Linked DNA regions of Canis lupus familiaris. The protein of the gene in region 3 binds, or shares a complex with, the protein of the main gene of each other region. Links are inferred from orthologs where the notes say so. Each region holds a gene or a part of one and is shown on either strand. Other genes may lie near its edges.

The links.
Region 1: RPL11 (region 3) and HEATR3 share a complex: the UniProt entries of both Homo sapiens proteins name them as parts of the hexameric 5S RNP precursor complex. The link is inferred for Canis lupus familiaris from reciprocal best matches to the Homo sapiens genes RPL11 and HEATR3.
Region 2: RPL11 (region 3) and RPF2 share a complex: the UniProt entries of both Homo sapiens proteins name them as parts of the hexameric 5S RNP precursor complex. The link is inferred for Canis lupus familiaris from reciprocal best matches to the Homo sapiens genes RPL11 and RPF2.

What each region holds. Positions count from the first base shown.
Region 1 is NC_049223.1:64,485,107-64,488,626, forward strand, and holds part of HEATR3 (HEAT repeat-containing protein 3), read right to left. Parts: intron 3,105-3,520; coding exon 2,995-3,104; intron 1-2,994. UniProt on the Homo sapiens protein: Plays a role in ribosome biogenesis and in nuclear import of the 60S ribosomal protein L5/large ribosomal subunit protein uL18 (RPL5). Required for proper erythrocyte maturation.
Region 2 is NC_049233.1:67,908,572-67,911,436, reverse strand, and holds the end of RPF2 (ribosome production factor 2 homolog), read right to left. Parts: intron 1,600-2,865; coding exon 1,455-1,599; intron 696-1,454; coding exon 516-695; 3' UTR 512-515; downstream 1-511. UniProt on the Homo sapiens protein: Involved in ribosomal large subunit assembly. May regulate the localization of the 5S RNP/5S ribonucleoprotein particle to the nucleolus.
Region 3 is NC_049223.1:75,176,909-75,180,894, forward strand, and holds the start of RPL11 (60S ribosomal protein L11), read right to left. Parts: upstream 2,803-3,986; 5' UTR 2,780-2,802; coding exon 2,774-2,779; exon of another isoform or gene 2,634-2,773; intron 2,033-2,633; coding exon 1,882-2,032; intron 754-1,881; coding exon 647-753; intron 200-646; coding exon 68-199; intron 1-67.

The sequences.
Region 1 (3,520 bases), about 11 Mb from region 3:
TTTACAACAATTTAACTCATCAGAAAACATTTGCAACTTTTTAAAAATTTTGTATTCAAATTCAATTTAGTTAAAATATACTGTATTATTAGTTTCAGTGGTAGAATTTAGTGATTCATCAGCTGCATATAGTATTCAACCCAGGCAGGGCTCATTCCACCACGTACCCTCCTTAATGCCCATCACCCAATTACCTCATCCTCCACACCCACTGTCCCTCCAGCAACTCTCAGTTTGTTCCCTACAGTAAATAGTCTTTAATGGTTTGCCTCCCTCTCTGTTTTTATCTTATTTTTTCTTTCCCTTCCTCTATGCTCATCTGTTTTGTTTCTTAAATTCCACTTATGAATAAGATCATATAGTACCTGTCTTTCTCTGACTGACTTATTTCACTTAGCATGATACCCTCTAGTTCCAACTAAACATTTGTATGTTTATAACTTCTTCAGACACAGGTGGCTTTTGTAAAATAGGTATGTTTTACTTAAAGGACGGTACATGCAAATGTGGCTCCTCAGACTATCAGTGTAATGAAAGATTTTTTCTTTTCTTTTTAATTTCTAATTCTTTACAGAATTATTCTTTTACAAAATACAACTTAAAAGGCTCTTAGATGTTGTGACAATGTGGAATTACTAATGAACATTTATAAAGGTTTCTCCTCAATTTCTGTATGTATCAGGGACTAGTAACAAAGAGTCTGGGGGCCAAAGGCCAGCACAGGGACAACACTTAGCAGGCTTGGGTACATTCTGGCTTCCTTTAAATTCAGTATGATCTTAAAAGTTAGGGCTATTTCTGGTGAAGCAGTATTCCTTTAAGAAAAAAAAGTATTTTACATAAAACTATGAGTAAATGAAGAGATGGCTATGATCTCTTCAGTGCTTAGCTCCTTCCTTGCATTAAAACAAGACCATGGATTACACTTTGCAGATCAGAAATAACTAACTGAAAGTATCAAAACAACTGGTATTGCCTTACAACTTTGACAGAAAAATCTCTAAAACACAAGAGGAACCAAGCCCAAATGTGTTTTTCTTAGTGTATTCCAAACAAATCCATTTCTTTCCAGTCTCAAAATTTCACAGCTGATCCATGCCCACCCAAATTAGTCAAAATACATGCTACTGCTGTGATCTAGTTTAGTTCCCCAAATGCATTTGTATACAAATCCACATACACGCATATATCCAAATGTAATTTTTTTCATTAAGAGACTGATTAAATTCACTTTAGCAAAAAGCCAAGAGAAACTATGGTTGCTACCATAAAGACAAGACCTAAGAAAGCCATGTTAATATATACAACAGAATCTCAGAAGTTCACTTTACTGTATGTAAACCTTGATTTTCAACCCAAAGTAATTTGACACTTGTTTAAAAACTCATGAATCAAAAAAAAATAAAATAAAAATAAAAAAATAAAAAATAAAAACTCATGAATCTAGCAAAATGCAGAAAGAAAACATTATACAATGCAAAATTACTTTAATCCTTTTTTTTATTAGAGAAAAATAAATTTTAAATAAATCTACAAGACTAAAGATACAAAAACAGAAGTGAGGTTTTTCTTTTAAAAGCTATTAACTGGGATGCCTGCATGGCTCAGCAGTTGAGCATCTGCCTTTGGCTCAGGGCTTGATCCCAGAGTCTCGGGATCAGAGTGCCACATCCAGCTTCCTGCATGGAGCCTGCTTCTCCCTCTACCTATGTCTCTGCCTCTCTCTGTCTTTCATGAATGAATAAATAAAATCTTTAAATAAAAAATAAAAGCTATTAACTAACTTTTGTGAATGTCCTTAATTGTAAAGAAAAACCGTCTTCTGAGATTAAAAGCCACCTACCAATTTCCTAGTTCAACTGTTTTTAAAATCCACATTTATTCATAAATCGCCCTTTTGCCAAAGATTTCATTTTGAGAAACTGATTTTTCAATTTTTCTCAGTAGTATTCATTCCACTGTTTTTTTCTCCTGTTCCCTTAAAAGTATATATTAGAGTCAAGAGAAGCATCAGTAAAGGGAATACACTTAGTCCATGCCAGGAGAAATGCATAATTAAATAAAAGGACAGCTGGATGCCTGGCCATTATAATGGGAAGAAAAGAAATGTTTTTCATCAATGATTTCTCCACTCTCCCCAGAGTTCTGCTGAGCCACCCAGCCTCCAGTCTGTCTCTCCAAATGGACAAGGGTTCCCCACTATGGCTCCCTATGCTCCATACCACACAGAGAAAACGTGAGGGAGTCAAGGCAGCTGAAGCTGCCAGACTCTACTTCCCCTCTCCCATAGAAGGGAAGCAGGCCTATGTGAAATTTCAATCACTTATGTTCCTCTCAAAAAAAAAAAAAAAAAAAAAAAAAAAAGCACAGGTTATCCGTTTTCTGCTGGGAGTATGAGACAGTGGTACAAGACATTTAAATAGGGATCCCTGGGTGGCACAGCGGTTTGGCGCCTGCCTTTGGCCCAGGGCGCGATCCTGGAGACCCGGGATCGAATCCCACGTCGGGCTCCCGGTGCATGGAGCCTGCTCCTCCCTCTGCCTGTGTCTCTGCCTCTCTCTCTCTCTCTGTGTGACTATCATAAATAAATAAAAATTAAAAAAAAAAAAAAAACAAAAACAAAACAAGACATTTAAATAAGTCTAGATTCCAATTAACTTTGGCTCAGAGGCCAGGTAGTTGTGGGTTACTGTTTCTCAGTAAATGGGAGATGAATGCTTCAAGAATTAATAAAGCCTTCTAAGGATGGTAATATACTAGAAACCGCACCTGCTCACATAATTACCTTCCTCCCTTTCAGAGTGAAGAGCAGGAAAATTATGTAAGTATTAATCACAGATTTTAAAAGATTCAGAACAAACAGAACTCAGTTACACATTTACATATAATGAGGGGAAAAAAATCACTTCTGTAGAATAAACATGCTGTGTTGGAATAAAAATTTTTGAATAAGGCCACACATACTTAATAAATCATCACTTTTTCTTCACTTACCTACTGAAATAGCCAGGTCAACATTGGTGGAAAACCTACTTAAATACTTTAATACAATCTCCAAACACCCTTCTTTGTTGAATATAGATACTGCTCTACTACTGCATTCACTAAATTGAAGGGGGAAAAAAAAGTTTTACTATTCACATTTGAACATTAAGAAATCAACCATAGAAATTCATGAAAAGATAAATTAGGCTTTATAAAAGAACCCAAGAATTGGAGTCAAACACCCGCCATTTTTATAGATGAAGAAACCGATGCCCACTCAAATTCAATACACATAAACAAAACTGGCTTTCTGTATTTTTATTTCTATCACAGAACATTTTAGCCAATCCCTTACCTGCAATGTCAGTTTCCTTTACGAGGCTGGAGCCAGGAGAGATCTTAGAAATCATTTACTTCTATTCCTCACCCTATACATAAGGACATCCAGGCCCCAAAAGGTGAAGTGATCTATCCAAAGATCACACATTTTGTTAGTGGTGGTTCCTAAAGTCTAGCCTACTGTTCCTTCTACCAC
Region 2 (2,865 bases), on a different chromosome or scaffold from region 3:
ATAAAAATATACAATAAAATCTTGTAAGAAACTTAGAGATGACCGATGATTAATAACTCTCTTAAGAAAACAGACTACAGGGATCCCTGGGTGGCGCAGCAGTTTGGCGCCTGCCTTTGGCCCAGGGCGCGATCCTGGAGACCCAGGATCGAATCCCACGTCGGGCTCCCGGTGCATGGAGCCTGCTTCTCCCTCTGCCTATGTCTCTGCCTCTCTCTCTCTCTCTCTCTCTGTGACTATCATAAATAAATAAAAATTAAAAAATTAAAAATTAAAAAAAATAAAAAAAAAGAAAACAGACTACAATTAACATTATTGGCTAATTCTATCAATTTTTTTTTTAATTTTTATTTATTTATGATAGTCACAGAGAGAGAGAGAGGCAGACACAGGCAGAGGGAGAAGCAGGCTCCATGCACCGGGAGCCCGACGTGGGATTCGATCCCGGGTCTCCAGGATCGCGCCCTGGGCCAAAGGCAGGCGCCAAACCGCTGCGCCACCCAGGGATCCCTCTATCAATTTTTTTTAATTCTCTTTGATTTTTTCTCCTGGTCTTCTGTTATCCTTTCTGCAGGTCGCTTCTTCAACCCCTTCATTTTCCTGGTTTGTAGTTTGCTTAGGTCTTGCTTCTGCATATGAATCCTTCCATAAGTTGTACCAAAAGTATCATGGGAGACATTTTTCTTCTTCTTTGGCTGTGAAATAAGAATATATAGATGTATATAAATATATATAATAGTATCTACTATCATAGCCTTGTAAAAATCTAGTGTACAACTATGTTACTAGCAATTCCCACTAGTGAGCACCTATTCAAGAATATAGTCTATTCTAGAGACCTTTCTTCTCAAATACATACAGATGACTTGAGGATCTTGTTAAAATGCATGTTATAATTCAACAAGTCTAGAGTAGGACCTGAGATTCAGCATTTCTAAGAATTCTCAGGTAAACTGTCAGACCACACTTCGGACAACAACACTATAGACTATGTTAACCATTGTCATGCACTGAGAGAATTTCCTGTGTTTAGCTTAAGGAATTGTGACTATCATTTCGATCTTTATGGGCATTCCAGAGATGCCATTTCTACTTGTTTTTAAGAACCATTCAGAAGTCAAAATACATTTTATCCCAGTATGGTTTACACAGCCTGTGCTCTAAATTCCCAATCTCCACAATGCCTCAAACAATTCTCTTTCTTGCTGAAAACTGACAGTCTTGCTACCAGAAAGCTCTCAACCACAGCTAACGCGTGGTTTCTACAACTCTCTTATTATCCTTTATGGTTGGCTTACTTGCTGCTTCCTCCTTTTCTTTGCTCTGAGAGTCTAATTTTATCTCCATTATTGATCTCTTTCTGTCTGTCCTTTACTGTACTATGCTACAAACCCTTTTTGGAAAGAAGAGTGGAATTTACAAATAAATATGGCAACAATATGCAAGTTATAAACCTTGAGGGCTTTTGGCATTTTCATAGATAATTTATAAAGATCATCTGAAGCCAGACGTGTCCTCCTCAGAACCAGATCCAACGAGGGCCCCATCTCTTCCAATTCAATCCTTGGTGTTCTACAACCGGATTTCTTCAGCAGCAACCTGTATGAAGTACAAAAAAAAGGTCAAAATATATATATATTGTTGAGAAACAGAAAGTGAGATGAGCATGATAGGGGGTGAGGAAGAAGCAGGCTCCCTGCTCAGCAGGGAGCCCAAAGATGAGGACACAAGGCTTGATTCCAGGACCTGGATGTAGATCATGACCTGAGCCAAAGGCAGATGCTTAATCAACTGAGCCAACCAGGCACCCCAGAAATGGAATCCTTTGATTTGATTTCTTCATCTTATTTATAGATTTACATAATTATAAAAACAATTTCAAACCGGGCCTTTGAAATATTACATTTACATAATTAACAAATTCTCATTTCTCTAAGACTCCCATTCAGAATCTACTTTTGTCCATAGTACAGACACCTACTGATCTCTATAGATTGGAATGAACTTTAAAATCTTAATATAACAAAACCACAACTTTCTAGATTCCATACGTCCAAATAGCTCTGAATGTGGAAATAGATGAGGGACACAGTCAGGAGGAGGGGAAACTAACAAATTCTTTTTGTGAGTGATACCACAAGAACAGCTCAAAGACCTGAAGATTTGAGCTGACTCAATTTGTTATAGTGGCCAGATCTCAAGATGGAAAAAAAAGAATTTAATGAATAACAATGCTTATAAAAGATCAAACTTTTCACACTAAAGGTGGAATGTGAGAGAGGCAACAAATGACATGAGAGAGAGTAAAAGCACAGTAAGAAATACCAAGGAACAACAAACTCCAGGAAGCAGAAGTGAGTGTTCAGATGCTCATTAACAGCCCTTTGGGCCCCAAAGCATGACATGCAGACAGTCCACCCATTGGGAGGTGCACCTACTCGCTTTAAGAAGTCTTAATGATAAATATGCCGTATCAGACAGTTAGTTATACCAAACCGAACAAGGCAAAAACAAAACAAATATCAACCTAGGATATATAAAAAGCAGAAGTGTTAACAACAACAAACAGTAAAAGATAACATGAATATTCATATGGGACTTGAGGGGAAAAGGCCAAAACAAGAGCCCTTAGGCCACTCTGCATAATGGGGGAATTTGCCTATCTCAGGGCCACTGTGGGGGAAAATATTTTTAGAAGCTCAAGTTGGTGATATCAGGGCATCTTTCCTAAAAGCTGATTCAAAGCATATGGTGGCAGTAACCCTTTGACTCTGTTGTAATTCATGTACTTCTGCATCCACATTTTCAATACCTCCAAATAAATGGTATTTATAAAACTGAACTCCTAACAAGATTAGTATCTTG
Region 3 (3,986 bases):
AAAATAAAGGAGTAGCAGATTCCACTCTTCTCACAGACCAGGAGTAGAAAAGACTAAATATTCATACCACATAGAAGTCCAGGCCGTAGATACCAATGCTTGGGTCATATTTGATCCCCAGATCGATGTGCTCCTGGATCCCAAAACCAAAGTTTCCAGTATCGGAGAAGTTATTTTTTCTTAACTCATACTCTCGCACCTAAGGAGACAAATGCAGCAATCATATCCCTCGTCAATTCAAATCCCCCCAAATTATTAGTTTAGTCCTCATCACTCAGCACCCTGAGATACAATTCGATATAATTTGATCATGAACAAAAATCTCATTTCCCCACGACACCAAATCACAACCCACGATAGGAGTTTCTAGAGCTAAAAAAAAAAAAAAGAAAAGAAGAAGCAGTTCATAGAGCTTTCCCAATATTTAAAAGGCATTGAAAAACCCAGAGAAATCATTCAAGAATAAAGTTTAAAACCTTGTTGGGTGCAGGAAACACCCTTTAGAGGTTCAAAAAAATTTCAAATTAAAAAAATATATCAAGGGACCAAAGACAGTGTACAAAGTATAACCACTGCCACTGTAATTATCTAGTTGTTAACACATAAGCTGGTGCTCTTTATTATCCCATGAGGGGATCAGCCTCACCTTTAGACCTTTCTCCAGGATTTCTTCTGCTTTGGCCCCACGGACTGTGCAGTGGACAGCAATCTTTTCATTTCTCCTGATACCAAAGGATCTAACCGTGTACCTAGCTGCAGGAGGGGAAAACAAGGAGTCAGGTATCACACTCCCACTGCACTCACCTCTTCCCTAGAACATCATCTCCACAATTCTAAGACACATTAAATATCCACCCACATCCTAAGTGCTGGCATTCCTACCAGTGTCACCTACATCTGGTTTCATCCATAGCACAGAAAACAGATTTTTCAACTTCCAAGTCATTCAATCATACTTAAGCAATTAAGAGCTCAAAGTCACATCTAAGTCTCAGGACGGGCCAAGTTCACAGCCAGAAGAGGCCACTAGAAAGGAATATGGTCACTGTATTCTAAAGAAAACAAAACATTATTGATAATTCTCTAATGTTATCCTGTTATAGATGAGGTTCTGGGAGGTTAACTTGCCCCAAATCACAGTTGGTAACAAAAGGCAGGATCTAAACCCAACAATGTGCCATACTGCATTATCCTAAAGCAAAGAAACTTAACGATGCTAATGTCCACGCTGGGCTTGGTATGTAGCAGGCACTTCATAAAATCTATTTTATTTTTCACAATCTTATTATCATCTCATTTAGGCAAATAAGGAAGCTGAGACCCAGAAAGGCTGAGGCCAGACCCGCAAATGATGGGGCCAGGATTTGAACCCAGTTGGCCTAGGCACAGAGCCCTTCTCCATGTAGCCTATAAATTCTCAGTGAGTCATTCAAGCCAAATATCACCTAGTGCATTCCTAATGTTTCTAACTTTACCCGGAAAAATCTCTACTTAGGCTGGCCCTGGCTGAAGCTCTGCTAACTTAAAGACCTGGTATTCCAAAACCAAACCCGTCTTGAAAGGAAAATACTTTGGGATCCCTGGGTAGCTCAGCAGTTTGGCGTCTGCCTTCGGCCCAGGCAGTGATCCTGGAGACCCAGGATCGAGTCCCACATCAGGTCCCTGCATGGAGCCAGCTTCTCCCTCTGCCTCTCTGTGTCTCTCATGAATAAATAAAATTAAATAAAACAAAGGAAAATACTTCTTGGGTAGCTCAGGATGGTGATGCTTTTTAAGGGGCATCAACTGTCACTTTCAAAACGGGCACTGAAGAGGCTGTATACCAGGTAAATTAGAAAAGAACATGCAGGGATGTTCTCTCCCCTGACGGCCACCACTGACCTTTGGAGAACACTGGGGTCTGGCCCGTGAGCTGCTCCAGCACCTTGGCCGCGCGGGTCAGTCTGTCTCCACTCTCCCCCACACAGATGTTGAGGCAGAGTTTGCGGATGCGAAGCTCCCGCATGGGGTTCTCCTTTTCACCTTGATCCTGCTGCAACGAGGGAAGCGCAGCAGTCAACACGCCACCCCGCCACAGCTCCGAGTCCCACATCTGTAGACACCGCCTACCTAGTTCTGCTCATCCCGGTTCCTAACGACAGCCTTACGGGCTTGCAAAGCATCGCGGTGTCTGTGCACCAGCTCGGGAGCTGGGCTCCCCCTCCGCGCCAGGAATGGACGAACAGAAACTTGGGGCAGGTAGCGGGAGTTCGAACCCCAAGGGGCTCACCCCCGTAAGGTGTCGGAGCGCGCGTCCCCGCTACAAAGCCGACGGGCAAGAAAATCGGATTTAAACGCCGCTGAGGAAACAGGAAGCGCGTGGTTGGGCGACGTCCCCCATTCCTTTCGGAAGCAGCCCGGGGGGCAGAGGGCAGGCGGCCTCCTCGAGCGGAGGGGCGGGCTGCGGCTCCCTAAGCACCCGGCAAGCCTCAAGTCCCCGGGACGGGGAACAGGTCCAGCCCCTCCGTTCGCTCCGTCGCCCTCCCCGCAGCTGACGCGCCGCGCTCCGCTCGCCCTCCCGGCGGCCGCCCCCAGCCGGCTGAGGAGCGGGAGGGGAGCGGGAGTGGAGGGGGCAGGGCTCGGCTCCGCGGCCTCGGCCCGCATGGCTCTGCCAGTTCCGCCACGGCGAGCCTTACGGGCTCCCTTCTCCGGCCGCGGACGAGGCAGCTCCCGCCTCGGATGAAGGCGGATGGAGGCGGATGAAGAGAAGCAAAGCAGGGCCTCAGCTACTCACCGCCATGGTGGAGAACAGGAAGAGAGGGCGAAGCTTCCGGCCCAGGGCCTTATGGGTCAGGAGGCGGGCTCTCTCCCCAGGCTGCCCCGCGGGCCGCGGCGGGCGGCGGGCGGCGGGCGGGCGGGCGGGTGGGCGCCGCCTGGTCCCCGGGACGCGGGTTTTCCAAAAATAGTTTTTTAAAGCTTTTCCTTGAGCTTCCGGTCTCCACGGGCGCCCTTCCCTCCCACGGTCTCCGGACCTCGTGGTTCCTGGCGTGAACCGACTTCCAGGGCCACGTGAAATCAGTCGTGCAAATCGCCAAGTAGGGGATCCCTGGGGGGCTCAGCGCCGCCTTCGGCCCGGGGCGTGACCCTGGAGACCCGGGGTCGAGTCCCGCAACCGGCTCCCTGCACGGAGCCTGCTTCTCCCTCTGCTGCCTCTCTATCATGAATAAAATAAAATCTTAAAAAAAAAAAAAAAAAAAAACTAAAAAAAAAAAAAAAGAAAATCTTAAACTTATTCGGGGACAATGTGAACATGTGGAATTTATAGTTAGAACAGAGGTGGCTGAAGAGCCCTGAGCTGTGGAGACGCAGTCGTGCTCTAGTTAACCCAATACGCGACCCCGGCCAGGTTACTAATTAGACCCTCTTTGAGCCTCAGTTTTCCTCAGCTTTAAAATGGGTACCTAGATCATAGGAGATTGTTGTGAAAGTTAAATGAAGTAATTGTGTAGAGCACGCATAAGGGGTTACGCTTTTATTTTTTTTAATTATTTATCTATTCATGAGAGACAAGAGAGAAGCAAGAGACAGGCAGAGGGAGAAGCAGGCTCCATCCCAGGATCCCCTGGATCACAACCTGAGCTGAAGGCAGACGCTGAGCCTCTGAGCCACCCAGCTGCCCAAGAAGGGATTTCTCTTAATATAAACCCACTATATCCAAGCAACCCCCTTCCCCCGCCCCCCAAAAAATGTTAGACATGGTGTATAATCAACAGTCATCCTGCACGCCCAAAGATGGGTTGCAGATTAGTCTGACAGACAAAGGCTCTGCTGGCAAACAATAAGCCAGCTCTGCTGGCTTCCCGGTTTACACTAATTCTCAGCAGCAGCACCGCAGGGAGAACCTGGCATTGAATCCACCAGTTTCTTTAACAGGAATAAATAGCCAAAGGACTTTGGTGGAAAAGGAGACAAGCCTCTCACTTCTACCATTAAACCCCCAGGTTCTC